Linked DNA regions of Diceros bicornis minor. Each later gene encodes a partner of the first gene's protein in a complex. Links are inferred from orthologs where the notes say so. Each region holds a gene or a part of one and is shown in the gene's direction. Other genes may lie near its edges. The genes, in order: GNAO1, RGS16, C5AR1 and HRH3.

The links.
Region 2: the proteins of GNAO1 (region 1) and RGS16 are in contact, whole or in part, in a crystal structure (PDB 3C7K), measured with the Mus musculus proteins. The link is inferred for Diceros bicornis minor from reciprocal best matches to the Homo sapiens genes GNAO1 and RGS16. Residues at the interface, in NP_034438.1 of Mus musculus: Glu64, Asp65, Gln68, Ser75, Arg86, Thr117, Val180, Lys181, Thr182, Thr183, Gly184, Ile185, Val186, Gln205, Arg206, Ser207, Glu208, Lys210, Lys211, His214, His236, Glu237, Asp238, Glu239; in NP_035397.2 of Mus musculus: Glu85, Phe86, Ser87, Glu89, Asn90, Glu124, Ala125, Pro126, Glu128, Val129, Asn130, Asp132, His133, Glu134, Leu161, Lys164, Asp165, Ser166, Arg169, Lys172.
Region 3: the proteins of GNAO1 (region 1) and C5AR1 are in contact, whole or in part, in a cryo-EM structure (PDB 8JZP), measured with the Homo sapiens proteins. The link is inferred for Diceros bicornis minor from reciprocal best matches to the Homo sapiens genes GNAO1 and C5AR1. Residues at the interface, in NP_066268.1 of Homo sapiens: Ala31, Lys32, Lys193, Asn194, Leu195, Glu318, Tyr320, Phe336, Thr340, Asp341, Ile343, Ile344, Ala345, Asn347, Leu348, Arg349, Gly350, Cys351, Gly352, Leu353, Tyr354; in NP_001727.2 of Homo sapiens: Asn71, Phe75, Arg134, Leu137, Val138, Pro141, Ile142, Gln145, Ile225, Thr229, Arg233, Ala234, Thr235, Arg236, Ser237, Lys239, Thr240, Val243, Val244, Ala303, Gln305, Phe307.
Region 4: the proteins of GNAO1 (region 1) and HRH3 are in contact, whole or in part, in a cryo-EM structure (PDB 8YN7), measured with the Homo sapiens proteins. The link is inferred for Diceros bicornis minor from reciprocal best matches to the Homo sapiens genes GNAO1 and HRH3. Residues at the interface, in NP_066268.1 of Homo sapiens: Ile28, Ala31, Lys32, Asp33, Val34, Lys193, Asn194, Leu195, Asn312, Pro315, Asn316, Lys317, Glu318, Ile319, Tyr320, Phe336, Thr340, Asp341, Ile343, Ile344, Ala345, Asn347, Leu348, Arg349, Gly350, Cys351, Gly352, Leu353, Tyr354; in NP_009163.2 of Homo sapiens: Asn69, Asp131, Arg132, Ser135, Val136, Ala139, Val140, Tyr142, Arg143, Ala144, Gly147, Ile221, Ile225, Arg228, Arg232, Thr345, Phe348, Arg349, Arg352, Val356, Leu360, Cys415, His416, His417.

Annotation. Positions count from the first base shown.
Region 1 is NC_080771.1:9,765,984-9,772,846, forward strand, and holds the start of GNAO1 (guanine nucleotide-binding protein G(o) subunit alpha), read left to right. Parts: upstream 1-3,860; 5' UTR 3,861-4,504; coding exon 4,505-4,622; intron 4,623-4,839; coding exon 4,840-4,882; intron 4,883-6,863. UniProt on the Homo sapiens protein: Guanine nucleotide-binding proteins (G proteins) function as transducers downstream of G protein-coupled receptors (GPCRs) in numerous signaling cascades.
Region 2 is NC_080743.1:84,786,107-84,793,710, forward strand, and holds the start of RGS16 (regulator of G-protein signaling 16), read left to right. Parts: upstream 1-4,604; 5' UTR 4,605-4,698; coding exon 4,699-4,742; intron 4,743-5,652; coding exon 5,653-5,763; intron 5,764-6,531; coding exon 6,532-6,593; intron 6,594-6,877; coding exon 6,878-7,044; intron 7,045-7,604. UniProt on the Homo sapiens protein: Regulates G protein-coupled receptor signaling cascades. Inhibits signal transduction by increasing the GTPase activity of G protein alpha subunits, thereby driving them into their inactive GDP-bound form.
Region 3 is NC_080773.1:22,737,170-22,744,901, forward strand, and holds the start of C5AR1 (C5a anaphylatoxin chemotactic receptor 1), read left to right. Parts: upstream 1-4,732; 5' UTR 4,733-4,907; coding exon 4,908-4,910; intron 4,911-7,732.
Region 4 is NC_080758.1:1,872,516-1,880,035, forward strand, and holds the start of HRH3 (histamine H3 receptor), read left to right. Parts: upstream 1-4,520; coding exon 4,521-4,770; intron 4,771-5,806; coding exon 5,807-5,973; intron 5,974-7,151; coding exon 7,152-7,520. UniProt on the Homo sapiens protein: The H3 subclass of histamine receptors could mediate the histamine signals in CNS and peripheral nervous system. Signals through the inhibition of adenylate cyclase and displays high constitutive activity (spontaneous activity in the absence of agonist).

The DNA of each region.
Region 1 (6,863 bases):
TGAGATATTTGGACTTTAAGAAAGTAAGCTCCTGGGGCCGGCCCAGTGGCATAGTAGTTAAGTTTGCATGCTCCACTTCGGTGGCCTGGGGTTCGCAAGTTCAGATCCCAGGTACACACAACTCATCAAGCCATGCTGTGGCAGTGTCCCACATACAAAATAGAAGAAGATTGGCACAGGTGTTAACTCAGTGACAATCTTCATCATGCAAAAAGAGGAAGATTGGCAAGAGATGTTAGCTCAGGGCTGATCTTCTTCACCAAAAAAAAAAAAGAAAAGAAAAGAAAAGAAAGTAAGCTCCTAGCAGAATTAACTGGCATACACAGAGTCTGTATAAGACCTAGCACCTTGTGTACAGAAAAATCACCTGGGAGTGGCTATCAGTGCAGATTGCAGAAGAGTCTGACTTAGTAGAAGTAAGATGGGTAACAGAATTTTGAACAAGCACCCAGCTGATTCTGGTGTGAATGGTTTTGAGAAAGCATTCCAGAGAATTCACGATTTCAAGATATTAAGCTCTTAAATCTGAACCTCCCTTTGAGTCTAAATCAATAATTTATAGATAGTAGATTGTCAATACATGCATATTTACTTAAAGTAATCACAAAAAAGGAACAAATAGGGAAATTCAGTTCATCTAATCAGAGCCCACATTCTTAAGTCAGAGCTAGGGAATCTTGCTTATGTCATAAATTACTGTCCTCCAGAATTAGGAGCCACACGCAGTAAAAAAGCAACTTAATGTAGGCTTTGCTGTTGTTCCTTTTAGAGAGAATATAAAACATTCTAATTGCCTACTTTTAAAAGTAAAAATATGCTGAACAGTGTGTGTGTGGCAAGAGGGATAGTTGACTGAGGGTGGGGTAAATGAGCGGTATTCTCTGGCCAACAGCAATAATCAGAGAAATATAATTCTGAGGATCGTATAAAATAAAACCAAGTGGAATCTGTCCTTGATCTAAGTGTCTGTCCCTCAGTCCTGATATTAGGATTGTAATTTCTCCATTCTCACAGGAATTAGTTGTAGACAAACTAAACACTTGTGGTATTATCTAATTACTAATAACTCAGAGAACTGAGACGTCCTTATTTTCACTTCCTTTGGGGGGACCAGAATATGATTGGGTTCTGAGGTTGTAAGCTTTCTGTGAGTCTAGGAAGCATGCTTTATATTACATGTTATTTCTTAAATAGTCCACAAACATGTAAAAGGAGCACTGGCTTACTACTTAATGACTGTGTGACCTTGAACAAGTTACTCAACCCCTCAGAGGCTCAATTTTCTTAGCTGTAAAATGGGTACCCAGGTCGATCTGGATTCATGGTCCAGGCTCTTTCCACTCAGCCATGACTCTCCCCACACCACAGTGCCTAACTGAGGATCTGTGGGAGGATCACATGAGATAATTTTTGCAAAAGTGCTCTGTTAGCTATAAAGCACTATACAAATGAAGCAGATTATTATTAGTCTTTTGTGAAGCCCAACTATAAAGATGCAAAGTGACCCAGAAAAAGGGAGGACAAACCTGAAGTACAACATTTATAGTGCCTAGAACATTACCCTGTACATGGTAAGTAGGTGCTTAATAAGTACTGAGTGAGTACAGAAAAACACAAAACACAGGTTTGTGCCTCCACCATACCAGGTATGATACCAAGAAGGAATAAATAAACCTAAAATCAAGGATAGTTTGATTCAACCATAAAAGCCACAATGCCTCAAGAGCCTAAGATCTTAAATTAAAAATTACTTGATATGAAAGAGCATTAAAATGTAAACTATGACCCACCATCTGCAATGAAATGGTTGTATTCTTACCTCTTCAATCTTTCAGATGCAGCCTTGGGATAGCAGAATCTGGGTGAGGTTGCTGAATTTTTTTCCCTTTATTTGATAGATCTGCATAATCATCCTCGCAACCTTTACAGGAAATAACAAATTCTATAGAATGTTGGGTACCTAAGGTCTGTTTTGGATCTGGAAGGCTGATTTTTAGTGATACTCTGATTTTAAGCAAACCAGATTTATCCCCTAAGCCACCCCCCTCCCCAACACACACACACAAAAGGAGACTGCCAGAGGGGAGTAGGGAATCAATTATTTACTTTATAAAACAATTCTTTATAAGAGTCGTTAGTCTGTTTTCTAGAATATGCAAAATGTGATTCAAATTTAAATGTTCTAATTATATTATGTACAACTTTGACATAGATAGCTATTTGTAGAATGAGGCACACCCATACTGGGAAATAACAAATTAAAAAATTCAGGGGAAAAAAATATTTTCTTCTGGGTGGGCCTTAATTGCCTTTTTTTTCTTCCCCATTGCAAATGTATTTTTATGCTGGGTAACGTTTCCAAAAGAGGGGTGTTTTTTTTCTATTGTTGAAATGAAACAAACAAGTTTGCTTTCAGAGCCACAGCAATGCCCAACTGTTAAAAAGAAAACGTTTTCCACTGGCCGCTTGCCTCTCTTATCCCCATGCAACCTTTCCTATTGGCCCCTTTCTCTAGGAGGGCCCCTGGGGCTGTCTTGTGGAACTGATTGTAAAACCATTTTGTGCATGAGAACTAGTTTCTTCAAAATCTCAGAGACCACCCAGAACATGCCCAATCTTTGGCAAATGTCTATGTGTTTCCTCAGTATTTGATTAGCTGTACGCTGAGTAACCGACCCGGGTTTCTCAGTCTTTATTTAAAAGAAGAGATGGGAAAAAATATTTTAAAAGATGAAGAAAGGAAGAAAATCTCTTTTCTCACCAAAAATCTATTCAAATTTCATTTTATGTATTTGTGTTTTGGGAAGGGGCAGGATAAGAGAGTTCAGCGCAAAGATCTCAACGAAGCTAAACCGTCCAAAAGAGCAAAAGCGTTTCAACTCTGTATTGAGGGAGTAAGCATTTGCTAGAAGCTCACTCGCATGAAAACCTGTCCTCCCCTCCAAAAGCTTCCCATGGTGGGAACTGTCTCCTGCGCTGATACCTATGGCCGGGAATCCTGGAGCAGAGTTCGCGATGGCAAAGGGAGGCAGGCAGAGGCTCCCAGAGAACAGGCCCTGGCTTTGTCTCATCCTGCTGTGTTCCCCTGCTCACAGCCTCCTCTCTCACATACTAGGTGCTCAATAAATGTGGGACGCAGGAAGCGAAAAATCCGAATCTGCCCCCATGCCCCAGAGGCGAATTATCGGGAACGCAGGTTTACTCTGACCCACTGTCTCCTCGCGTTTGCTGAGGACGCTCGGCCTCGGCTCTACGGCCCCAGCAGCAGGAGCACAATCAAGAAGGCGAGCTGCTGGAGCCAAGATGGAGAGGGAGCCGGAGAGCGAGAAAAGTGGCGCGGGGCGCGAGCCGGGGGACCCGCCTGACCGCCGCGCGGGCGGCGCGGCCCCGCGCTCCCATTGACAAGGAGGCCGGCGCAGCGGGCGCGCGGGGCGGGGGCGGGGGCGGGGGCGGGGAGGGGCGTCCCGGCGCGCGCCCGGCCCCAGGCCCCGCCCCCACCAGGCCCCGCGCGCGCCCACTCGGGGGAGCTGCGGGCCCGGGGAGCGCTGGAGGAGGGGAGGCCGCGCCGAGCGCGCGCCGCCGCCGGCTGACGCGGCCCGGGCGCGCGCGCCCCCTGCGCCCCCCGCCCCTCCCCGTCCCGGGGGCCCGGCGCGCGGCCCTGCTGACGTCAGCGGGCGGCTCGCGGTGCGGGGTGCGCAGAGCCGCTGGCGCACTCGCCCCCTCCCCCGCCCGGGCTGTGGCGCGCGCGCTCTCCCTTCATTTTCTTCTCCCCTCCCTCCCAGCCTCTCTCTCTCTCCCCCTCGAGCTCCCGGCTGCCCGCGGCTCCCTCGCGCCCTCCCTCTCTCTCCGGTAGGCTCCACTGAGCGATGCGAGCTCTGGGAGACAGCGACGCCGCCTCCCGCTAGAGACCTGCCCCCGGCCCGGCCCCCTGCCCAGCCCTGCCCAGCGCGCGGGGGTCGGCGAAGGCGCCGCGGACGCACCGACGGCTCAGGACCGGCGATGCACATGCACTAGCAGCACCCCCTCACTCGCTCCCTCCACACCCCGCGCCGCCGCCGCCGCCGCCTCCTCCTCCGGCAGCAGCGGCAGAAGGACCCACCCTGCCCCCCACCCCACCCTCCGCCGGCTCGGGCTGCGGCTCCTGCCTCGACTAGTATTTTATTTAGTTTGGGTCGTGCACAAGCCTCAGTGCCTGCAGCCCGCGCCTCCACGGACCGCGGGCGCCTCCTCCCTGGGCTCCGGATCCCCAGACCCCGGCCACCCTCGCCTCGACACCCCCAGAGCCGCGCCAGCTGCCGCGACTCTCCGCTGCTGGAATCTTGTTAGCGGCTGTCTTTTTGGGGGGTTCTGGTTTCCCGACATTTTTGTTTTCTGCCGAGGGGAGGATATCGTGATTTTTTTCCCCTTTGAGCCCAGGCTCTGCTCTCTGGGGGGGTGGGGGGCGCGCCGAGCCGGGGAGCAGTGCCAGCCGAGTCGTGCGGGCTGTGGCAGGGAAGGGGCCACCATGGGATGTACTCTGAGCGCAGAGGAGAGAGCCGCCCTCGAGCGGAGCAAGGCGATTGAGAAAAACCTCAAAGAGGATGGCATCAGCGCCGCCAAAGACGTGAAATTACTCCTGCTGGGTAAGGACCGGGGCTGCCACCCCTATCCCCAGACCCCGGCCCCTCCGCACCCCCTCCGCCAGCTCCCCCACCCCACTCGGGCCCGGGAAGACCTGGTCCCGAGTTGGCACCACCATGTGCCCAGGATCGCCCACCCCCTCGCATGCCTTATCCCCCTGCCCACCCCGTTCCCCTAAGCTGACACTCACCAGTTTTTCCCCCCTGTCTGTCCCAACAGGGGCTGGAGAATCAGGAAAAAGCACCATTGTGAAGCAGATGAAGTAAGTCCCTGTGCCATTGGGATTTGTACTTTTATTAAGAATAATTTTTTATCATTTGTGTTACCTTGCTCACTCTACATTGCTCTCCGGGCCCAGTTTTTAATTCGTGCACACACGCACACACACACACACGCACACACACACACACACAGACCTGGGTTTGACTCCCCTCCCCCACGCCCAACGTTGGTTCTGAGTCCTCCACCCCAACTCCCCGGGTGGGTGTTTTTTGGGGGGGGGAGGGAAGGGGAGCGCCTGTAGTTGTATGAATGACAGTGTCCGCCATATTGATCAGAACATCACACTATTGGCATGATTATGATCATTACTCTTGCTCGTGGGGTGTTTCGTGTGTATTGATGCCTGCATTTCTGTCTCTGTGTCTCTGTTTCATTCTGTCTCTATTTCTCTCTCCTCCTCCCTCCACCCCCCACCCCACATCCATAATCTCACTTCGCCCTGCTCTCCTCCTGGGGCAGTGATTTTGAACTTGGCTAAAACACGGAGGGGACCCAGCCCTAGACTGGGGTGGATGATCAAGTGTCTGCTGTTCATGGATTTGGTGCTGAATTGGAGACTGTGGTTTCTGCCCCCTCTCCCCCCAAAAAGAGGACGAGGGTTAGGGGAGGGGGCGTGTGGTAGGGAAGGGGGTGGGGGTTTCCCAGCTTATGTGACTGGCACAGCTGTATCCAAGGCAGAGGTGGAAGGGGGACACTGGCTGTGAGGCTGAATGCCCGCCCCTTGCTGGCCGCCCTTCCTCCCCCACCCTTCCCAGCGTTCGCTCTCCTGACACTGGCAGTTTTCTTTCACTCTGTGGCCTTTATCAATGTATTTATTTACACTCTGCATAGGCCGTGTTCCATGTAATCTACCCCCAATGCGGATTTCAGGCCCCGCTTGCCGCCGCCCCCTTCTGCCTTAGATATCAGTTTCCCCTCCTAATTAACTGGGGGTGGATTTGAGTGATGGTTGAAAATTAAAACAAAATGGGATATTTCTTCCCTTCCACACTTTCTCGATAAGGAGCCTCGCCCCTCCTTCCCACTCTCGGGCTCGCTTCTGGCCCCATGCACTCCGCTCGGCAGTTCCTGGTGAGCCCTCAGGCAGCTTTGCTGGGGGAGGGGGTGGCCGGCGGGGAAGGGGTGCGCGCCCGCAGGGCCTCCTGGCCCTGCTGCTTCCGTTGGCCTGTCGGTTCGGGACGGAGGAGTTCGTTAAGACCGTTTAGCGAGGATTCCACGTCGCTTTGCTGTGACACCTTCGTGCACACACAGCTCCTAATTAGAGGTTGCTGTGCAGTAAACAAAAATGATTATTTTTCAACTTGACAGCATAGGCGAAGTAATTGCATCCCGTAGGAAAACAATGGAAAATAAAAACCCCTTTCGTGGAAAGGTGGGTGGGAGACGAAGCATGCTTTTGCTTTCAGAACAAGATGCAAAAAATCTTGCATGTGTAACAGGCATGACAAGCGGGTTCTAGGCGGCGCCATGATGGTAGGGAGTAGCGACTCGGAGACAATTTCCCCCGTCTGCTTGACGTGCTCTTATTTTTGTTCGAGAGCTCCCCGGGGCTTTCTTTGCAGAGGCCCCCTCGGCTCGCCGCACCCCTCTGAGCCACGGGTAATTTGGCCTGGGGCTTCTCTGGAGCTTGTGCAACCCAAATGGACGGGGAGGCGGGGCCTGGGGAATTGCTCTTTGCAACAAGGTGCATGTTGCATCTGCCTGGAACCCTTGCAGGTCGGTAAATGCAAGCAGCGCCATCCCTTTCTCCCTAAGGGGGACGTTTCAAAACTTCAGAAGTCCGTAATCTGCAGTGGCGGGCTCAGCCGGGTAGAAGCCCCAGCCACTGGAGCTGGGTGAGGTTTCAGGCGTTGCGAGTGGTGGACAGCGCCCAGCCGAGGCCGGAAAAGTCGGTGGGGCTCAGCTCGGCGGCACTCGGCTCGGCTCGCCCTGTGCTGGGCGCGGGGCTCGCAGGGACTCGG
Region 2 (7,604 bases), on another chromosome or scaffold:
TAGCTAGACTGGGTATTGGTTACATGGGTGCATACATTTGTCAAAACTCATCGAACAAACTGTACACATAAGATCTGTGCATTTTACTATATGTAAATTATATCTCAATATATATAAATACAGTTAGTTTAGTGAAAAATATCTTTTAAAATGAGTAGTACAGGAAGGGGAGGGGCCTTCAGGCCGAGAGAACCTCATGCTCAGGGGTTTGTAGGTGCAGGCAGCATGGTGACTGTGGTAACCTGCCGACCGCTGAGTTTGGCTGGCTTTTAGGGTGTGAGGTGAAGCATGTGAGATCAGGTGGTTAGAGCCTTCTATGCCATAGAGAGGAGTCTTGACATGATCCTACCAGCCACGGGTACCACTGAAGAGTTCCAGCCTCCTCCCCAGGTGGCTGAGACTGCGCTGCCTTGGAGGCTAGGGGTCCATTGCCCAGTTGGGTAGAGAGAAGCAGGCCTCCCACATTCCCATCCCCTCAGAACTCTGCCCGGAGGGGAGGGAGGGAGGAAAGAGGAGAAGAAACCAGAGGAATAGCACAGCCGTCAACTTGCGCTGTACCCAGTGCCCTAAAAGGTAATCAGGGAAGAACAGGGTTTCCTACACCCAGGCTGAACTCGGTCAACTCTCCTCCCCAGGAGGGGAGGCCACCCACAGTTTTTGTCCTGACCCAGCAGGGAAATGACCCCCAAGGACTGTCTTTTTCAAGTCTTCAGGTATGATCTCTCCCTCCTCATCCAGCATCCTCATGATATGTGCTGCCACTGCTGTTCTTATGCTTCCGAAGCTAGAAGTGGCACCCAACTGTGCATCCTGCAGGCCTAAGCACCTCTGCCAGGGAGTAAGGAATTCCTAAATCTTTCTGCACCTTCGCTGTACCTCCAAACTACAAGAGGCTTTTCCTAGCTATTTCTCCCACTTGAAGCGTGATCCCTCCACGTCCCGCATATTCTGGCCGTTGTCCATGGCGGCACTCAAACTCCTCTGACTCCTTTTTTAACGCTGCTGACCCTCTCTGACCTCTCCCTTACCTGGACATCTGTTGGGACGCCAGGCAATAATTTCCTTTCACCTCTCCCTCCTCCTATGTTGGTTCTGTTTCCTCAGCCAGGGGGAAATATAAGGTCATTAGAGTCAGGGAAGAGCCTCAAGAGCTGTTATTTCCCCCACCGACTTGGGAACAGAGTAAATTCTTAATAAATATTTATTGGTAGATTGTTGATTGAATTTGGAACATCCAGACCACTGTGGGGATCGTCTGTGCCAAATCAGAAGCTGAGAAAATGTTTTCAGCAAAGATCCAGTCTAGACACCCATCTCAGTGGAAAGGGTGCTGCTGGGGGTCTGAGGGGCTGAAGGAGATGGAAGGCAATGTGGCCGGGATGTTGCAGGATGTTTAATCCTGACCCCAGCTTTGCCTGGATTGCTGACCCCAGATGATCCAGGCTGCAGAGCTGTGTCCACACACCCTCCATTAAAGAGAGCGCAGCTGCCCTGGAAGCCCCGGGCAAAAATGAGGTCAGGGTCTGTCAAAGCTGAGGCAATTCAGGGGTGAGCTCAACCTGCTGGATTTACAGCAACTGTTGAGTCATTACTGAAATTTCCGTTATGAACTGACCTACCTGCTGGGAAGAGAATTTGGGATAAATTGTGAACTTCAAAAAGTTTCTGCCTGGAAACTGAAGAGGTAACCATGGCAACCGGGAGGCAGGTTGAACTCAGAGAGGGCTCTTCATCTTGAACAGGGAGCTCTGTGCTCCCGGATTGGATTTGCCTGTCTGCATGTGCCCCGCTCATCAATCCTTTGTCTCTTTGCTTTCTTTGTTGAATGGGAGAAAGCGCTGGCTCAGGGATCTGGAAATGGGGCCCTGGTTTCAGCTGTTTCCAGTTCCAGTGCACTTGACTCAGGGGGCCTTAGGCACCGCTGTATTGTTGTCTGCGAAATGTGAATTAAAAAGCTCCTCTGGCCTATTCACGGGGATGCAGAAAGGACAGGAAGGTTTGAGGAGGTTCTCTGTGTGATCGCTATTGTTGTTGTCACGGGGCCATGTCTGGGCTGATTCCAACGTGGCGAGACTGGCGGTTCAGTCCATCCGTAAACTCGTTTTTGTCGCTGGAAGAAAAACTGTCCCAGACACCGCCCACACCCCCACCTGGCAGCTGCATAATAAATACGTGCACTGGGGCACGAGCAGCACCAGGTGGAACAACAACCCTCACCTCAGCTGACAGACTCCTCCAGCAGAACGTCCTGCTGATGGGGCCGCGTGGGCTGTGTCATCGTGTGGATGAAGGACTGTGCTGAGAAACACAGACCACTGCCCCCCTCTCCACCCTTACCCATCTCCCTGCACCCATGACTCCAGCCCTGGACTTGTGAGAGAGGAAGAACAAGAGCCTAGGTTAGCGAGATGGGGGTGAGGGTGGGATGCTGGCATCTGAGACAGTGCTGCCAATGTGGGAGCTGCTGCTGGACCTGCCCCTTGCTCCACTAACCACTGGGAGGTTGGCGAAGGGTTCGACTCTGGCTTTTCAGAGTGCATTCTGTTTTGACCAACCGGCTCATCTTCTGCAGGCCCTGGCTTAACAAGGAAATCTGCTTTGACAAAGGACCCCACACATTGTCTGATTTGGGCCTCTCTTGCTCTAGCAACGCCTTAATGACTGTCTTGTGGGCCTTCTTCTTCTCTTCCTCTCTGTGGTTTTTCTCTTGCCTTCCCCGACTAGCTTTTCTGGGCCTCCTCACCGAGCTCTCTCAGGTGGGGAACCTCTTCTCCTCTTGTTTCTCTCCTTTCTGACCCTTTACTTCCAGGACTTGCTGAGGAATAGCAGCTCTTAGATGCCCCTCATGAAATAAAAGCCTAAATTCCAAGAGACACAAAACTCACTACTTCTCATTATTGTCTAGCAATCTCCGTATCAAGTAAACCTGGGAGCTAACATTTATCGGGTGCTGACCGCGTGCTGAGCGCTGTTCTAAGTGCCTTACGTGTTGAAGGTGCCGCGGCACACCGCACAGAGCCCTGTTTGGGACTGAGGCCCTCATCCCCCAGCCTCCAGCACGTCATCTGCTGCAGGCTCATAGCGCAGTCTCTCTCCAGGAGTTCCCTTGACAGAGGGAGAGTTGCCTTGCCTAAGATGAGGCCATCTTCTTGGGGCAACTGCATCCAATGAAAGGTTGACGAAAGGACTGCCCCCTTGCCTCAGTGGGGGACAGCTCCAAAGGGCCGTGCCACTCCAGAGCATCCCCTGGGAACAGCTTCTGTCTCTGTTGCAGTGGCATGGCATTCAACTCCTCCCTCTGCCCAACCCGGCTTCCCTCACTCTCTCTCAGTTCCCAGAACTCTCCCCAGCAAGTCTCTGCCTCAGAAGAACTGTTTCCTGGAGAACTTGAATTAAGAATTAGCTTATTTAGACCTCACAACAACTCTATGAAATAAGTGTATTATGTTCTCATCTTAGAGACGAGGAAACTGAGGCATGGAAAGGTGAAGAAGCTTGCCCAAGGTCTCCCATCAGTAAACAGTGGAGCCTTGATTTGAAACCCAGAAATCTAGCTCTAGATCCCACACTCTTAACCTCACATGCAACCCCTTGGTAGCAATCCCAAAGGGAACAGAGGGACAATGGGGGAGGCTGTAATGCCTTTATGGGAAGGTGAGGAGAGAGGCAGAGCATTTACCACATTTATCTCAGAGATGAGATGTGGACACTGAACTAGCAACCGCTTAAACCCAGGATCACTCATCAGTTACAGAGGTAGCGGGATTCTAATTTTGGAGGGGGTGGGGCAGTGGAAAAAGCATGGTAAATTCGTATTTGAATTCTGGTGCAACCCTTACTAACTGTGCAACTTTGAGTAAGTTATTTAACCTGAGTCTTAATAAAAGTGCCTGGTACATAGTAGATGCTCAATAAAGCCTCCCCCGCCAAGTGTCTGCTATTGCCAACTGTGATCTGGGCAAGTCTCCAGCTTTCTCAGTTTCTTCATCTATAAAATGGAGGTAATGATGAGATGATGCTAAAGGGCTTCCTTAGCTCTGTGGCCATCCGGGTAGGAGCATAGTAAATAGTAGTTATGAGTATAATCATGATGCTGTCTTGCCTGGCTTGCACTCTGCTTCTGTCCTTCAGGACCCAACAGGCTCAGGATCCGGCTGTGATCGATAACTTGTGTGCCTCTCAGACCTGCCCGCCACGTACCCCTCCTTTCCGTCCCCCCCCCCCCCCCCCCCCCCCGCCAAATCCTCCCGTCCCCCGTGAGTCGCCTTCCTCCTTTTACTGGAGCCCGGAGGGTTTTTTCCTATTAAGCTGAGTGTGCGCATCTCATCTCCGTGTGACTTCTCTGCCGCTTCTCCCTCCCCACACCGGCGTCCACCCGGGGGAGGAGCGCGCAGCCCCGTGTGCCCTCAGGTGTGAAGTTTGCGTGCGGGTAGGGGAGGCGCAGCCCGCGGCCAGGCGCCCCGCCTCCGCCCTCGCCGCGCTCGGTCCCGCTCTCCGATTGGTCGGCGGCGCTCAGCCTCGCCCCGCCCCCTCCGAGAGAATAAAAGCCGCGGTAGCGCCAGCTCCTCGCAAGCAGCTCAATAAACGCAATTTGCGCGCGCGGGTGTTAGCTGCCGCTCCTCTGCCTCGTCGCGCTTGCGGTGGCCGCTGAAGTCCGCCACCATCCTCCCCACGACGTGCTGCCCTGCACCCGCAGCCATGTGCCGGACCCTGGCCGCCTTCCCGACAACCTGTCTGGAGAGGTAAGAGGAGCTTGTCCTGCTGCCTGGAGGAAGAAGTCCAGGTCCCACCAACATTTAGGGAGTGGAGTGGCAGGCTTGGGGACCTGGGTGGACGGGAGAATGGGACGCTAGTGACTTGAGAGGCAGAGGTCAGCTTGGTTCCATGTTCTTAGATGCTTCCCTAAGAATCTTAGGGAAGCCATAGGCCAAGACAAGGGAGGAGGAAAGGCAAAGGGAAGCAAAGGGACTAGTGCTTACTGCCATTCCCCATCCTCTGACAAATGGCAGTCCTTCTTAGGTGACCTGCTGAAGACCTGGCTGCAGGAAGACCACGTTGGCATCACCAGGCAGAACTGAGTCTTCCCCAGTTTCTTCAGCACGTGGTTTTCATTCTATAGCCCAGATCTAGGGGCATGGCCTCCTCTGGCCCTGGGAAGCAGGGAGGTGTTTTTTGGGTCCACCAGTGAGGGATGTGCCGGCTTCCCAGAGAGCTACTCAGCCACCTCCCATTCTTACTGGAACTGGTGGCTGGGAAGGAAAGGTAAAAATGAAGGCAGGAATCAGTTTCCACACAGTTCCAGAAATATTCATGACAAGCCCAGAGGGTGCTGAACTGCCTTCTGCTAATTAACAGGCACAGAGATAGATCAATGTGACTTAACGTGGGAAAAAGCCCATGTGTGCAGTGCTGGAAACCCAGAAAGCGTACGACCTACCAAGGAAAAGCTCAAACATTGCTTTCATTGTTTCTGGCTTCATGACACTAATGAAGGAAGCAAAGTTTAGGCCCTGGGAACAGCCTAGGGTTCCCAGGAACCCTTGAGGCTAGAATTTGGGTGGCACTAGCCTGAGCTCTTCTGGGACCCCATAAACCTCTCTGCCCTGGCTGAGCAAATAGAGAATCCTTACATGCTCACGCTTTGTCTTCCAGAGCCAAAGAGTTCAAGACCCGGCTGGGGATCTTGCTTCACAAATCAGAGCTGGGCTCTGATGCTGGGAGTGTTGGCAAGTTTGAATGGGGCAGTAAACACAGCAAAGAGAGGTAAGTCCTGTTCATTAGCTGAGGGCCCCTAGAGGGAGGGAGTCAGATTTAGGAAAGGAGTCATGAGAAAATACAAGGAGAAATTAGGACATGCTAGGGCAGACCTTGGCGACCCCTCTCTGGAGATTTTGCTAGAGCTTCTTGCTGGTCTGCTATGGCTGCTTGGCTCATGGGTGAGTGGGTGGGTGGCTCCAGGGTTCTAGGTCCACCAACAGATGAGTGTACCCAGTGTCTGGATGTCTAGTTACCAGACTCTCCCACCTGGAGATGTCATTGTGCATGCAACCGAGGCCAGGACAGGGTCTGAGGCCCCTGTTTTTTAATCAATGACTGTACTTCCATTAGCATGCACCTTGCCTAGAAACCCTTTCATTTTGAACGTCACCTATGCTAGGTGCTGTGCTAGGCTCTGAGGTTATGGGTAGACATAATCTCTATTCATGAGGCCCTTATTTCCTTGGAGAAGTGTACAAAACAAAACTCTGCGAGTCAGGGGAATGGAAACAATTTTGGATGCAAGGAGATGGCCTTAGAAATATTTACTGAGGGCCAAAAGGTCCCTGGCTTTGGTTTCTGGTTCCTAAATAGTCCTCTGTTTCCCCTAACCCCAACCAAGAGTTTGAGGTGTCAGCTCCAATAATCACCGAGCAAACCTTTGTGTGAATTATGCAACTCCCCTTGGATTCTGACTAGGATTTGTGCTACACGTTAGTTTGTTGATTTTTTTTTTTAATTAAAATCTTGGCTTTTTTTTTTTTCCCCTACCAGAAACTTCTCAGAAGATGTGCTGGGGTGGAAAGAGTCATTTGACTTGCTGCTGAGCAGTAAAAGTGAGTCTGCCCCGTGGTGTCTGTCTGTGGAAGGCACATGTGTGCTCATGTGCTTGGGAGCCAGCCTGAGGGATGCTGAAAGCGTGGGCAAAATAATCACAGTAGGAATAATAATAATGATCCCCTAGTGTGCCAGCCTCTATTCAGAATACAAAGGCAGGTCCTTGTTCAAGAAAATTACATCCTAAAAATAGAGCCATTAACCACAATTGCTGTCTTTTCTTGTTTTATTCCTGGCTGTCCCATGGTCTGACCTGTCTCTTCCTCTCTCATCCCAACCCCAGATGGAGTGGCTGCCTTCCACACTTTCCTGAAGACAGAGTTCAGTGAGGAGAACCTGGAGTTCTGGCTGGCCTGTGAGGAGTTTAAGAAGATCCGGTCGGCTACCAAGCTGGCCTCCCAGGCTCACCGGATCTTTGAGGAATTCATCTGCAGCGAAGCCCCTAAAGAGGTCAGAGCCGTGACATATTCCATGAATCCTCCAGACCCTGCCTGCTCCTTCCCCACCGTGGTGGGGGCCAGCAGGTGAAGGATTGAGTTTAGGCGTAGAGTGGCCTTATTTGGCACAGTAGTGAGTGGGCTTCTTTCTGGAGACTAGGAAAATCAGGCTCCATGCCACCCTTGGGTGCTATTACCCTCAGACTCACAGATGGGGCCAGGGGGATTGGCAGGTATTTTGGCTTCTGTCCATACCCACTTTCGTAGACTGAGCCTTTTTTAGAGGCTCAAAAGTCTTAGACACCTGGCGAGACAGGTCATCCTAGGGACCTTGTGTAATCTGGCTCAGTCCCCTGGCTGACCTGCCTCTGGCCAGCAGGATTGTGGTCAGGGAGCTTGTCAACCTTCCTTTCAGGCCTCCACTGCTTGGTGTCCACACTCGGTTAAGAACATGGGGCCACCTTGTGGACGGAGAATAGTAATGCCTTGCTTCTGTGTCTTATTTTGTATTTTTTTTTCTGAGCACTTTTATTTATTCCACATTATTCCATAAAGATTTATTGGGCAGTCATT
Region 3 (7,732 bases), on another chromosome or scaffold:
CAGTGCTTTTGAAACCACAGGTCTTCCTAACTACTGGTGAAAACAAATCTTAGCAAGATAAGGATAAAAATCTTTTCCTTCTTCCTCCACAGTCTCAGGAAAGCAGGCATGGTTGTGCACCATAAAAATGCCCCTGTAAATGTTATTTCTAACAAAGGAACCTTATAAGACATCCAAACTTCAGATTTTGCTGTTATGTTATTATGTCCTAAGTAAGTAACTTTTAACCCCTAAAAAATCTGTCATTAGCATTGGTTGTTGTGTAGTAAAAAATTTAGCCTTGCCCAAAGAGAGCTTTGGCCTCCGCCCTCGGCTCCTGGGAGGTAATTGCTAAGCCCTTAGAATGTCCTGCCTGATAAAAGTGTCTTTGTTTACCTGGGGTCTTAGGCCTCTCCAGTTAGTCTAACAATGTGACTTATGGTGGGAGCTTTGGGTCCTGTGGTATCAGCTGGACCTCCAGAGGGGCTGCAGACTGAGATCAGCCATGCTGGTGGCCAGCCAGGTCTATGTGACCAAACTCCAGCAAAGCCTGGACACCGAAGCCCGGGTAAGCTTCCTGGTTGGCGATGCTCCATCCATATTGTCACACACTGCTGCTGAGAAAAAGGTATCCACGACTTCTCTGGGAGAGGACAACCAGAAGCTATGAGTACAGAATGCTCCTGGGTTCTGCTCCGTGCGTCTCTTCCCTGGGCTGACTTTAATCTGTACCCTTGCGATGTACTAAACTGTAACCATGAGCACAATAGCTTTCAGAGAGCTCTGAGAGTCCGTGTAGCAAGTTATCAAACCTGAGGGGGGGTCTTGGGGACCCTCAAACATGCCATCGGTGTCAGATTCAGGGTGGCCTTGGAGCCTCCCCAATTCTGCAGTTGGTGTCAGAAGTGGGCTGTTTGGCTTTTCACAGTCATCTGACTTAATAGTGTACGGCCCTGGTAGTATTATTTGAATTGACATCCCTGTTTTCTGGAATATGTAAATATGTGTGAATTTTCTTTGGTAAACCAGAAGAAAATCATTGGCACATCCTTTTTCTCTCATACATTTTCCTCTGCTAGATTTCTTATTGAAGCAATAATAAATAAGATTGCCTTATTTAAATTAAAGCTGTCCTTCCCGATGCTGTTTGTGACTGGCTTCTAATTGTCCTCTCCTATGTATTTTCCCATTTGTCCACTGGCATGGAGGTTTAACAGGACACAGGAACACCCAGCTCAAGACTGAGTCTCTCAGCCTCCCTCGCAGCCAGGTGCGGCCAGGAGACTGTGTTCCAGCCAGTGAGCTGTGAGTGGGAAGCCACTTCTGAGTCTCGCCCTTAAAAGGATTGGGCATCTGCGCCCCCGACTCCTTTTTCCCTTCCTGTCGGGGTGTGGTGAGAGCACGAGCAGCCACCTTATACCCCAAAGTGGAAGCCATGAATTGCATATGATACGTGATAGAAAAAGGAACTTAAGCATTAACACTCGGAAACGGCTCTCCTTGTCAAATCGTGTGTGCACCGTGGCACGGGGCTCTGACTGCCTGGACAGGGTACCTCTTTATAATTCACACAAAGGCTCCGGCTGGGGTGATGGTGGCTCTATAGTGCTGTCCTATAAACATATAATGTGAGCCACAAACGCAAGCCTCAGAGGTAATTTTAAATTTTCTAGTGGCTGCGTTACCAAAGTAAAAAGAAACAGATGAAATAAAAATAGTAGCATTTTTAATAATATAATTATTATATGTTAGATTAATATCAATGATATTAATGGTATATGAATATATCATAGTCATATCATAGTAGTGATATTTGTTAGGTTGTTACCTATAATGATCTTTAATATGTAACAATAACAATAATATAATTAATAATATAGTTTGGGGCCGGCCTGGTGGTGCAGTAGTTAAGTGCGTGCGCTACGCTGCAGCGCCCTGGAGTTTGCAGGTTCGGATCCTGGGCGCGGACAGACGCACCACTTGTCAGGCCACACTGTGGCGGCGTCCCATATAAAGTAGAGGAAGATGGGCATGGATGTTAGCCCAGGACCAATCTTCCTCAGCAAAAAGAGGAGGATTGGCATTGGATGTTAGCTCAGGGCTAGTCCTCCTCACAAAAAAAAAATAAATAAATAAAATAATAATAATATAGATTGCTTAACCGAAAATATTATTTTAATATGTATTACAATATAAAAATTCTTGAGATCTTTTACAATCTTTTTTTTTGCAGTAAGTCTCTGAAATCTGGTGTGTGTGTTGCACTCATGGCACATGTCAATTCAGACTCTGCACATTTTAATTACTCAGTAGCCACATGGCTGGTGGCTGCTGTACTGGACAGTGCAGGTCTCGGTCTTCAGGAAGAGGATGGAGAGACGCCAGCATAAAGGTTACAAACATTGAGAATGGTGTCCACCCACTCTGCCTTGCAATTCCATTTCTGGAGAGTTATCTGCAATAAATCCTTGTACACAGGCACCAGGATGTGTGGATGAGGGTGCTCGCTGTGATGTGAACAAAAATATCGGAAACCACCGAAAGTTCCACCCACAGGGAAGTGGTTTCATAAACAGGTTTCAAACTAACAATGGATTTATGATGCTACTAAAAGGAAACAAGGTGTTTTTCAATGTATTTACAAAAACATTATTCCGAAAAAAAAAATAGGGATAAAAACAGTGATAACAGCACATGATTGGAACAATTGAACAAATTTGCATGAAGGCTGCGGATTACATAATGGTGTTGTATCAGTGTTACACTTCCTTCAATAGTTGCACTGTGGTTATGTCAGAGGACATTCTTGTTCTTAAGAGACACACACTGAAGAATTTAGAGGCAAAGAGGCATGATGGTTTCACTGTAATCTCAAATGATTCGGGGGAAAAATGCAAATAGATCTGTAGATATGGAGATGGGTATGGACCTCCCCCGTTAATTTCCTGGGCTTGCTACCCTCAGAATTGCGGGAGCCAATTCTTTAAAACAAATCTCTCTCTCTCTCACTTTACTATTGCTTCTGTTTCTCTGGAGAGCTCTGATGGATACCCCCTTCCCCTCCCCCACCCCACACACGAGTATACAGTGGGAGCATACTAATGCACGCGGCGCAGATGCAACAATGAGTGAATCCGGGTGAAGGGTACGCAAGAGTTACTTTAACCCTTCTTGCTACTTCCCCTTAAGTTTGAAATTACACCGAAATTAAAAGTTGCCAAAAAGAAAAATATTCTGAGAAGGGGTTCATAACTTCACCAAGGGTCCAGGGCATAGAAACTGTTGAGAATCCACGATTTAAGGCAATGCGCAACTTGGGTCCAAAATCCTGAAACATCAAGAGCGTGTGGCCTGGCCGCCTGAGTCTCCCCGGGCTCAAGCGCCCCCTTGAGGTCCGAGTCGGAATAACAACACCGCATTCCTACCAGCCCCAAACCCCCGCCAACGCACTTGCAAAAATCCTTGCTGAGCCATGCAGACCACACGCATGGCTTCATTTAGTGGAACTAAATCTTGCTGCACGTCGTGCACCCGCATGTCCATTCCCAAGCAAACGCCACGTTTGTGCAAGTCTGGGCGAATACACTCCAAACCGCTGAGAGGAGTTTCAGAAGGGCGGCGGTCACGGGATTTTTCAGTGGTTTTTTTTTTTTTTGGTGGGAGGAGTGCGTTTCTGGATTGTTTACATGTTTGCAATGTGCGTGGGTTACTTTTGCAACGAAAAGGAAGCTAGATCCTTACAAACTGAAGGTTGCTGTAGAAAAATACTATTTGCGGAGGGAAGATGTGGATGATGTATTGCAGAGTTGCAGAAAAGCCTGGGGAAAATGAGCCTGTTTCGTGCTCTTTGTGATAACCATGACCATTGTGGGAGGCGGGAAAATGGGTCCCAGTGAGGTCCACATCCCAGTTCCTGGAACCTGCTGCATGACCTTAAAGAGCAAAAGAGACTTTGCAGATACGTTAAGGATCTTGAAATGAGACTATCCTGGATTATCCAGGGAGACGGTAAATGTAATCGCGAGGGTCCTTATATAAGGGAGACAGAGGGAGATTTGAGACACACAGTGGGAGAGAAGATGCGACCACAGAGGCCGAGGCTGGAGTGATGTCCACAGGCGAAGGAACGCTGGCAGCTGGCGGAAGCTGGAATAGCCAGGCGGAGATTCTTCTCTAGAACCTACAGAGGGCGTGTGGCCCTGCAGACCCCTTGATTTCGGACTTCTGGGCTCCAGAACTGCGAGAGGATAAATCCCCGTTGTTTTAAGCCCCCTGGTTTGTGGCAATTTGTTACAGCAGCCATAGAAAACTAACATAAGACCCTTCCTCACGCCGGGCTCCAGCCTGTGTCCGCGAGAACTCAAAACGAGGCTGGAAAGTATGGTTGTGGCTCGAGGGACGCCAACGTTACAACCCTAGGGAGGAAGATTTAATAGTCCCCAAGTGCTGGGCCACCCCCGCAGACCTGCTTAGCCTCTCTGGGCCTCCAAGAAACCTGGATTGAGGCTCACAATCCCCGCTGCCCGGGACCCCAGGAGAGTTTAAGCCAGTTAGAACCCTGAGCTGCCCGGGGCCCTAGAAGGAAAGAGAGAGATGGTCTCAAATGGGGAAACTAAGGTCCAGAGAGAGGCCAAGCCTACACCGGGGTGGGGGTCTCTTTCATCTGGCTTCCTCTGTCCTCGGACAGGAACTTCCTCAGTTCTCTGAGCCCTGACCTCCCTCCTCTGACTGGTGTTTAGAGCTCCGCGGGTGTGTGCCCATAAAGGAGTCCCAGATAGGGTGTCCAGTGTGCAGACCAATGAGAACCCCAGAGGCGACAGATGGGTCATTTCCTCCCTGGTTATCTGCACCCTCCCTTGGGGCCTTAAAAACCACAGCCCTCAGGCAGGAGGGATCTCAGATCAACGGGGAACCCAGGAGACCTGAATATGGTGAGTCTAGAAGGGGACCCTTGTACCGTGCTCTCTCCTCTCGGGGCCCCTGTCTCTCTCTCCAGCTCTCCCCTTCTCGCCGTCTCTCCCATTCCTTCCTGCTTCTCCCCATCCTCATTCCCCCCGTCTGCCCTCACTCTCATCTCAGACTCTCCCACTCCCGGGCTGGGATCCAGGAGTCCCCCAGGGCAGGAAACCCTTGCTGTTGCCTCTGATAAGATGACACCCTTCCTCAAGGGGAGTCGTCCAGGAAAGGCCTTCCAGGCAGCGGAAATGGCAGGAGTGAAGGTTGGGAGGCTGGAAAGGGCCAGTCTGGAAGAATGGTGAAGTCACGTGGACTTTCAGATGCTCTGAATGGTAGAGATGGGGAAACGGAGCCACAGGTAGGCACGGAGCTGGCCAGGGTCCTTCAGTGGTTGGTGGCAGAACCAGGCTGTCTCCCAAAGAGGGAGACTGTCTCCAGGCTAAATGAGGGGCCCCCTTGCACACCTGCGCCCTGAGGTCTGTGTCTCAGCGACGCAGGGCTGTGATTTAACACCTGCGTGTAGAGGATCTTGTCTTGCTTCATCGGGGTGAAAGGGGAAGTGGAGAACGTGTTGGCTGGACCAGGGAGGGAGTTGGCTCATTCTCCTCATCCCACTTTCGAGACCCGACCTGGGCTTTCAGAAGAGGGCCCATGATTATCTTCAACTTCTTCCATCTATAAAATAGTCCCACATACCAAAGGGGTAGTCGGTGGAAAGCCACTCTCCCTGCTCCCCCCGGCCCCCCCCCCCAAGAGCCTCAGACTCCTTGTCACTGCCCCAGAGGCAACTGTGGGTACCAGTTTGTGGTGTATCCTTCCAGAAATGATTACAGGTGCTCCAGGGAATGAAGTAAGGAGCAATTTGACACGGGGGGTCAAATTGAAATGTGGTTCAAATTCCGCCTCTCCTGTGTGATAGCTGAGGAGACCTGGCTTTGCTGGGTGTCCTTCCCCTTATCTTCTTTTTTTTTTTTTTTTGTGAGGAAGATCAGCCCTGAGTTAACATCCGTGCTAATCCTCCTCTTTGCTGAGGAAGACCGGCTCTGAGCTAACATCCACCCCAATCCTCCTCCTTCCCCCCCCCCCAAAGCCCCAGTAGATAGTTGTATGTCATAGCTGCACATCCTTCTAGTTGCTGTATGTGGGACACAGCCTCAGCATGGCCGGAGAAGTGGTGTGTCGGTGTGCGCCCGGGATCCGAACCCGGGCCGCCAGTAGCGGAGCGCCTGCACTTAACCGCTAAGCCATGGGGCCGGCCCCCTTCCCCTTATCTTTATGATATGGCTAAAAGTCCTGCAGAATTAGAGCCTACATCACAGGATCATTGAGGGAATTAAATGAAATAATGCATGGAAAGATCTTACAACAGTGCCTGGCATACAGTTGGCGCTCAATGCATGTGACATGTTTATCCCTTCTCCACCCCTTTCTCTGCAAATAGAAGTATGTTTTACATATTGTTTTACATCTTGCTTTTCTTCATGAATCATGTATATTATTAACCAGCATTTATTGAGTGCCTACTGCATGTGCTATGCAGTTTACATTTAATAATTTCATCTTAACCTGTGAGGAAGGTACTATTATCATCCCCATGTATTTCAAGGGAGTTATCTCTTTCTTTTTATCAGCTGTATAATATTCCAATGGGAGCTTCCATCCCCTATCAATGGAGATTTCGGTTGTTTACAATATTTTGTCTTTCACACCAAAACTATATCTTTGGACCCATGTTTGGGTTTCCAAAATTGCAAATGCTGAATCTAAGGCAGAGGTGATTTTTATTTTAACAGATATCGCCAAAAGCTGTACCAACTTATATTTCCCATCTACAGTGCATGAGACTGTCTGTTTGTCTACACCATCATTGCACAGTTATATCAAAGTTTTTTATTTTTGCCAATCTGAGAGGCAGTTCATTGCATCCTCAAAGGATCTGGAGGCTTGTCTTTTTCACATAGTTTTAAAAACGTGTGTGTTTATGTTTCTTAATGCATAGGGATTGGAATCACAAAGGTCGTGCAAATTCAGGAAGATAAATCTGAGTTGAAATGTCTGCCCCCACCCTTCTATCCCGTTTCTCAGAGGTCATGGCCTATAATAGTTTCATGTGGTTCTGTGGGTGGATTGTTTAAAGACTTTGTGTCCCTGCAGGAAGAGGGAAGGGGATGTTTGGGGGAAAAAAGAGGACTTTGCCTTCCGTGTGTTTACTGGCTCTGGCAGCGTCCCTAAGTGGGTCTGTTGTTTTCACTGTGATGGGGGGACGGTTGGTAGGACTTTCTTGCCTGAAAGGATGGGGAAACTGAAGCCCAGAGAGGAAGGGAAGGGGCTGGGGCAGGGTGTACCACGTACCAGCCGCATGACTGTGGCCCAGTCATGCCTCTTCTCTGAGCTCTCAAATCTTAACATTTTTCTTCCTCCTCTTGGCCATCACCGCCACCCATCCCCATCTTCACTGGCCTGGGTCCTCGCCCCAGCCTCCTCTCTGGTCCTTCTGCCTCTAATCTCACCTCCTCACAGCGCCCAGAGGGATCTTTCTAAACTGAAACTGTAATCTGGTCCCTCTGCAGCTCAAAAACCATCCATGGCTTCCCATTACCCCAGGAGTGGCATCTGTGGATCTTCCAACCTAGTCTTGGCCACTTGCCAGCCATAGTGACCTTCTTTCATTTTCTAGATGAGCACACTTCCTCCCTCTTACCTTTTGGCCTTTTGCCTTGAACGCATGCCCCTCACTTCCACCGTACTTTAGGCCTGGAAGCCACTCAGAGAGGGCTCTGGAGTTCGACTCTCAGAA
Region 4 (7,520 bases), on another chromosome or scaffold:
CCAGGAGGCAGCCGTAGCCAAGATCAACGGGACCCTTCCCATGTCCCCTGGTAAGAGTGTGCCCCTTGGGGAGCCCACCTCTAACCCTGCAGAGCCCAGAGTGGCAGAGGCACAAATACCCTAGTGGGTCGCTGGGAGGGGTGCCAGTGGGGCCACGCCAGCCTCCACCCAGGATCCTAGACAACCGTGTTCTTCTTGTTGGAAATGCAGTGTCAGGTACATGTCTCTGATTTGGACACTGCATCCTGTAGGATGGTGCCCTTCCTCGCAGGCATTGCCCCATGCGGGGGGGCCTTTGGAAGGCTGTTCCTGCATCCTGTGAAGCAAGCCGCTCCGGGATGGTGTGGCGGGCGACACAATTAGCGCGTCCTTCTCTGGGAAGTGGGCCCCAGGTTGAGTACCGTGCTGTATGGGATTCCATGCCCATGGGTCAAGCCTCCATGGGGCCCTGGATTGTGGTGCAGCGTCTGTGGGCAGATGAGGCAAGCCCACACCTAAGCAGGTATGTGAGGACCATCCACACAGCCCAATGTAGTCAACTCACCACCAGGTGGTGATTTGTTCTCCTCAGGGAAGGTGCCAAACTGGGGGCTCAGCATTGGTCTAAGTCGGTGGTGGGTCAGACACTCAGAGGTGGCAGTGGCCAGATCAGCCTCTGCAGGGGGGAGTCCACGCTCCTGGTCCATGCGTGACCTCTGGCGAGACCACTTCATTTGTGCTGTCATGCCAGTTATGGGTGGCCAATGACAGGGGCTTGCTGTCACCTCTTCCTAGTGGATGCTTCCTGGTGGGTGTTTGTGTGTGACACAAAAACCTTCATGCTGGTGCCCATAGTCACATGTCCATCCATGTGGTCCAGCCCAGAGCCCCTTGTCTCCACCTCCATCCTGTTCCTTCCAGGCCCCTGACCAGCCCACCAGGACATTGGCCACTGCCCCTGAATCCATAGATATTCTCAACTGGGCCACTTTTCCGTCCACACAAAGGGCATGACCAGGTGCTTGAAGCTCTGCCCACTGGAAAGATGTGTCCCTCGTCTCAGCTGCAACACAGCAGCAGACCCCAAAGGCACTGCCACTGGGGGCTGTCAGCTCACTGCACCCCCTTACACCCCACGGCCCCCTGGGCCTCGTGCCCTGGCACTCCCCGTCCCCTGCCTTGCTTCATTTCTCTCCAGAGCACTTGTAACCTCTGACGTGTGCGTTACTTACTGCGTTACACTTGCCTCCCTACACTAAAACGACTTAGCAGAGAGCCTGAATTTAGGTGCTTAATAAAACCTTGTTGAATGGACAAATGAACCAATCAATTGATGAGTCAGTAGGGGAGCCATCTCCTAGGGAAGGTTTGCAGGGGGTCTGGTTTGGCTAATCTGGCTACGGTTTGTGTGGATGGGGCATTTGCCCAATGGCTTCCTTGTTGGACTAGACAATTTGCACCCCAGATGCCGGCTGTTTTGACAAATGAAGAAACCAGGGTCCCAGGCCACTCTCTTTGAGGGAGTCTGGGTGAGCCGAGAGTAGGGGTTTGCCCTTGTCCCCCAACCCTTAGCCAGCTTTTCCCAGCGTCTTGGAGGGTTCCCAGCCATCCTGGGGCCTGAATACCCAGTCCTTGGGTCAGAGCCCCCAGGGCAAGATGCCCTGTGGACAGCCACATGGGGACCTGCCTTATTCACTCCGAATTGCCTTGGCCAAGTTAGGTCCAGCCCAGAGGACACCAGGCTCCTGTCCAGACTAGGTCAATGCTCTAAGAGTTGGTACGTTTGCTCGCCTCAGGGCCCTTGATCTCAGGGCCAGGAGTGTAGCCATTAAGAGAACAGCATCTGGCCTTGTGTGACCTGGGGCAGGTAGGTGGCTTCCCCGCTCTGGACAGGGGCTACTGGTTCTACTCTCCTTGTAGGGGGAGTGGGGAGCTAATGAGGTCATGCATCTAAGTGCAGATGGGGGGTGCTCACCACCCTTGGCCATGGTCATCCTCAAACCTCTGGGCCAATCCTGGCCCTCCCTCTCCTGGTGGCCTCCCTTCACAGAGGAAGATCTCCACGCTCAGAGAAATTTGGTAACTCCCCCGAGGCACACAGCTGGGCCCCCGGTGCCCAGGTCTGAACTGAGTCCATCTCTCCCCCCAGCTGTGGGTGAGAGACCACCAAGGAAAGCCCCAGAACACTGATAGCCACAAGGACAACTGTGGCTAGGCTTGACTGAGACTGTAAAGGGGCCGCCCTCTACACAGACTCCCCCCTGACTCAGCCCTCTACCCTGACAGTAAGCAGCACACAGTCTCCATTCCAAAGTGGGGATCCTGAGACTGGGGAGGGGGCTCCCAGCCAGTGATTGAAAGAGTCAGAGCCCCCCTCTCAACCCCTATCCAACTCCATCTCCCAAGGCCCGGGGGCAGGGGAGCACCCCTGCAGCACTGTCTGGCCAGAGCTGGCCTCCGGGGAGTTGGGGAGGAGCAGGGCCTGGGGGCTCCACTCAGCAGGCAGCTGCTGGCTGAGCAGGGGTCCATGAGTGCTAACTCAGCACCAGAGGCTCAGGAAGTCGCGGACGATGGGAGCAGCACCTTGTTGCCCCTCCAGGAACTCTCCACCCCGGCTTGTCTCACCATCAACCAGCTGCCTGGTCCTGGCACAGCCCTGCCCACCAGGCACGTTGGGGTGCAGTGAGGGGAAGCTGGGGGAGCCTGTAAGAGGAGCAGGGCTTACTGGTGGAGAGGAGGAGTGTAGCCAAGTACTCAGGAAGAGCTTCTGGGAGGATGAGCTGGAGCCCCCCACCCATCCCCCAGCACAGGCTGCGAGAAGCCGTGAAAGAGTGTCTGCTGGGGCAGGATCTGGGGTCTCCTCCCTGCAAGCAACCCTGAGGAGGCAGTAGAGGGAGCCCAGCCCCCACTCCCCAAAGTTTGTGAAGCACCTCTTGGGGCTAGGGGAAGGGGTGGGTCCTGGCATGATCAGACAGCTGCTATAAGTGTGGGGGTGCCCGTGCATGCCAGTGCCTCGGGGGCCGTCTGCCACCCCTCCTCTCCTCCCGGCAGCCTCGCAGCCCCCACCCCCACACGCAGATACTCATGTTCCCATCCTCTTTGAGGCTTCTGCAGATGTGCGCCGCTGGCGACAGAGCAGAGAGTCACTGCTTCCCTCTCCCTCAGGCACTGTTCCCTCGCTGTCTGCTGTCTGATGGGTGTCTAACTGCCATTCGTGGATCCCTAGCTGGGCGGCTGTTTCCCTGGTCTGTAGGTGTCTGTGTGTCTGCGTGTGGGCGTGTCTGTCTGTCTCGCCGTGAGTGTCTCCTGCTGAATCTGTCCTTGACCCTGTCTATCTGAGCGTGTGTCTGGGGGGAGGGGGCTCTCCCTCCTGCCGCCTCTCCTCCTCCATACCCGCAGGCGCTAATGCCGCTGCCGCCGCCTTCGCTGTGCTCCGATCACAGTGACCTCGTCTGTCCCTGCAGCAGCGACCGCCTCACCGCTCTGTCCACCAGGGGGAATCTTGGCCGGGCTCCGAGTCGCTGGCTGCTCCGTCCTCAGCCTGCGGCCGCCTGAGCCCCAGGTGGAAGCGCTCCTCTCCTGGCTGGGTCCACTGGCTCCCCATCTTCCCTTATGTAACTCCACATCTGTCTGCGCCTTGCAAGTCACCCTGGACCCTGCGCTGGGCCCACGGGGAGACTGAGACCCAGAGTCCCATGCACGTGGGGGTGGCGTGGACCCCTGGCCAGCGCACGCGCTCTGGGAGACCCCTCCCATCCTTCCTCCTTGGGACGTTCCCTCCCCCAAGACCCGCTTGCCCGAGCGCGAAACAAGGCGGGTCCCGCGGGGCAGGTTCCCCGCGCGCGGGCGCAGGTATTTCCTCCGCCCCCACTCCAGGTCCTTGCAGGTGCGCCGGATCCGGACGGAGGCCTGCCAGGAGTCAGCGGGCCTGAGGGCACGGGACAGTCCGAGCGGCCCAGAGGCCGGCTCCTGTGTGCGCGGGCCGGCCGACCGCAGGCGAGCCCCCAGCGCGGCGCCCGCCCTGCCGGGGCCGGGCTCCCCGCCAGCAGCCGTGCGCACGGGGTTGGGGCTCCAGCGGCCGGGCGGGCACGCGGCGCTGTCCGTGGTGCTGCCGGCGCCGGGCGGGACGAGGGCGGGGCGGGGGCGGGGCGAGGGCGGCAGCCAATGGCGGGGGCGCTGCGCGGGGCGCGGGGGGCGGCGGGCTGGGCGCGGGGCGCACTCGGCTGCGCGCTGCACTGGGGCGCGCCGACGCTCTGGCGGCGGCTCCGGGTCGGGCTCGGCTCCGGGTCCGCTCGGGCTGCAGTGGTCGTGCCTCTGGCCCCATTCGGCTCGGATTCCGGCCCGGGCCCCCTCGGTGCCGCCCGCCCCGGCCCCTGCCCCGGCCTCGGCGCCCACGGACCATGCGCCGGGCACCGCCCGGGGATCCCGGCCGGGCTGAGAGCCCGCAAAGACCAGGCTCCCGGGCCGGGGCCCCTCCCGGACGACTGGCCGGCGGTCCGCGCCCTGCCCTGCGCTTCGGCGCCGCGTGAGCCGGCGGGGCCATGGAGCGCTCGCCGCCCGACGGGCCGCTGAACGCGTCGGAGGCGCTGGCGGGCGAGGCGGCGGCGGCGGGCGGGGCGCGCGGCTTCTCCGCTGCCTGGACCGCGGTACTGGCCGCGCTCATGGCGCTGCTCATCGTGGCCACGGTGCTGGGCAACGCGCTAGTCATGCTCGCCTTCGTGGCCGACTCGAGCCTCCGCACCCAGAACAACTTCTTTCTGCTCAACCTCGCCATTTCCGACTTCCTCGTGGGTAAAGCCCCCAGTCGCCGCCCGAGCGCAGGAGCGCCCAGCCCCGCCCGGCCAGTGGGGACTGGAGCTCGGACCTAGGGTGCCTTTCGCTCGGGCACACGCCCCGTCAGGGGGCCCGGCCTGGGGAGGAGGCGTCCAGGAATCGTGGGGCGGTGGGCGCTGGCGAAGTTCCTTGCCTCCCTGCCTGTGGGACTGGTGCTGGGGAGGGATGTTCCCCGGGAAGGGGCCTGCGCCGGCAGGCGCTCGGCGAGGCGCAAGGCGCAGCGGCTGCGGGTGCAGCGCTGGCTCCTGCGTTGTAGCCAAACAAAGGCTGCGGCGGATTCAGGACGCGCGGAGGGCGCTGGGGGGAGATTTGGGGGAGGGGACGTGGAAGGGGGTTTTTAGAGTGTTGAGGGAGGGGACCGGGGAAGGCGTGGGGAGATGCTTCTAGGAGCGCGCTCTCACGTGTCCGTGCGCTGCTGCCAGCTGGGGGCGGGGCGCGTAGGGGGCCGGAGCGCCAGACACCTGTTGGGGCTGCGAAGTGCGTCTGCCAGCGCTGTGAGCCGGGCTTGGCGGTGGGAGCGGCTGGCGGGGCGGCGGCCAAGCGCCTTTTGAGTCAGGAGAAAGGCTTTCTCGCTTTCTGAGCTGATGAGGAAGAGCTGTCCAAAGGCCAGGGGAGGCGCAGGGGTCCAGCAGGCCAGAGAGGGGAGGAGATGTTCCTTCTTCCTCCCTTTGGGGACTGGGAAGGCTGAACAAAGCCTGGGAAGTACCAAATTAAGGCTCGGGGTGTCATGGTGCCTGCCCATGCCTGGAGCTTCCCTCCTGCGCCCAAGTCCAGGGGACTCCAGTGGGACTGGGGGCTGGGCAGGGGTTGAAGGCAAGTGCAGGGTAGAAGGTGTGCTGAGGGGATCAAGTGGAGGGGTGGGTAAGGTGAAGGCTGCTGGTCCCAGAAAGGTGGCCACCATGTGACTCCCAGGTCCTGCCTGTCTCTCCACTGTGGTGGGTCTGACCCCAGGCCCTTGTCGAGCCTTGGCCCACCATGCCCTACTCTCCCACAGGGGCCTTCTGCATCCCACTGTACGTGCCCTATGTGCTGACTGGCCGCTGGCCCTTTGGCCGGGGCGTCTGCAAGCTGTGGCTGGTGGTGGACTATCTGCTCTGCACCTCCTCCGTCTTCAACATCGTGCTCATCAGCTACGACCGCTTCCTGTCGGTCACTCGCGCCGTGAGTCTGGGATGAGGGTGTCCACATTCACTCCTGGAGGAAGGGGGACCACAGGAGGCACCAGGCAAAGGTTGCCCCCTTCCTAGTTGTAGGTGGTGCCAGGTGGGCTTGGTCCCTGCTGACCTCACACCTGACACACCAGGTGCTCTATGGCTGGCTGCCCACTCAGTAGCCATTTGCTGCGGGTAGGACTGATCCTGGGACACACAGGAGGCACAGTCTGGACCCGGCATCAGGTGTTCCTGAAGGAAGGGGGTCACTTCAGCTTCCACCCTGGGGCAGGTCCAAAGTCCCTGGAGCCGAGGGAGGATCTGGGTCAGAGGTCCTTGGTGCTTCCCCACCACAGGGGTGTGTGTGTGTGTGTGTGTGTGCGCGCGTGCACGCACGCGCGTGTGCGCTCATGTCTGCGCCCCTGGAAGACAGGTGTTGGCTCCTGGCTTCACAGGCTTCGCTTGGTGTGAGTGGCCACCATGAGTTAGGGACCTGAGCTTCCTGCGTCAGTGCCGTGCGGGCACACAGCTGCACTGGCACGGAGGTCTCTCCTTTGCCTTCTCATCTTCTCTTTGATGGCTTATCGGGCACCCCAGGGCCCTCTGCTGGGGGTGCCACATGTGTCCCAGTCTAGAGGGGTTGTGGGACAGAGTGCAGAGAGCATAGGTCGGGGTCAGACAGACTTGGGTCAAACCTCAGCTCTGTCCCCTGGAGCGGATTTTCCTGTGGTCTCTCCCTCCCTCCCTGAGCCATCGGGAAAGTGGGGATAATGACGGAGTTGTTGAGGATTAAGTGAGATGATATCCAAAAGGTGCTGAGCACAGAGCCTGGTGCACAGTGGGTACTCAGTAGACAGGGGACCATGACAAGACACCCCCCCGGGAGCGCACAGCTGGTGGGGGTGCTAAACAGGCAGCCTGGCACAAAGTTAGCATTCAGATTGGTCTGGAGCAGGTTCTGAGGCTATAGGAGAATGTGACAGGGCATCAGCCAGCCCAAGATGCATGGCACAGAGGGGAGAGAGGGTGGGGAGGAGAAGGAAAAGGCATCGCTGTGAAGGAAGGCAGTGCACAGAGGCCTAGAGGCTGCCGAGGAGCCCCCAGGCCAATATTCCTGCCACAGTAGGCAGCAGCCTGCCGGCCTGGGCTCAGTCCCCTTCCCTCCTGACCTAGCGTGTCCCACCGCAGGTCTCCTACCGGGCCCAGCAGGGCAACACGAGGCGGGCGGTGCGGAAAATGGTGCTGGTGTGGGTGCTGGCCTTCCTGCTGTATGGGCCGGCCATCCTGAGCTGGGAGTATCTGTCCGGTGGCAGCTCCATCCCCGAGGGCCACTGCTATGCCGAGTTCTTCTACAACTGGTACTTCCTCATCACTGCCTCCACGCTCGAGTTCTTCACGCCCTTCCTCAGCGTCACCTTCTTCAACCTCAGCATCTACCTGAACATCCAAAGGCGCACTCGCGTCCGGCTGGACGGGGCCCGCGAGACGGCCGACCCTGAGCCCGCGCCCGAGGCCCAGCCGTCCCCACCACCAGCCGTGCCAGGCTGCTGGGGCTGC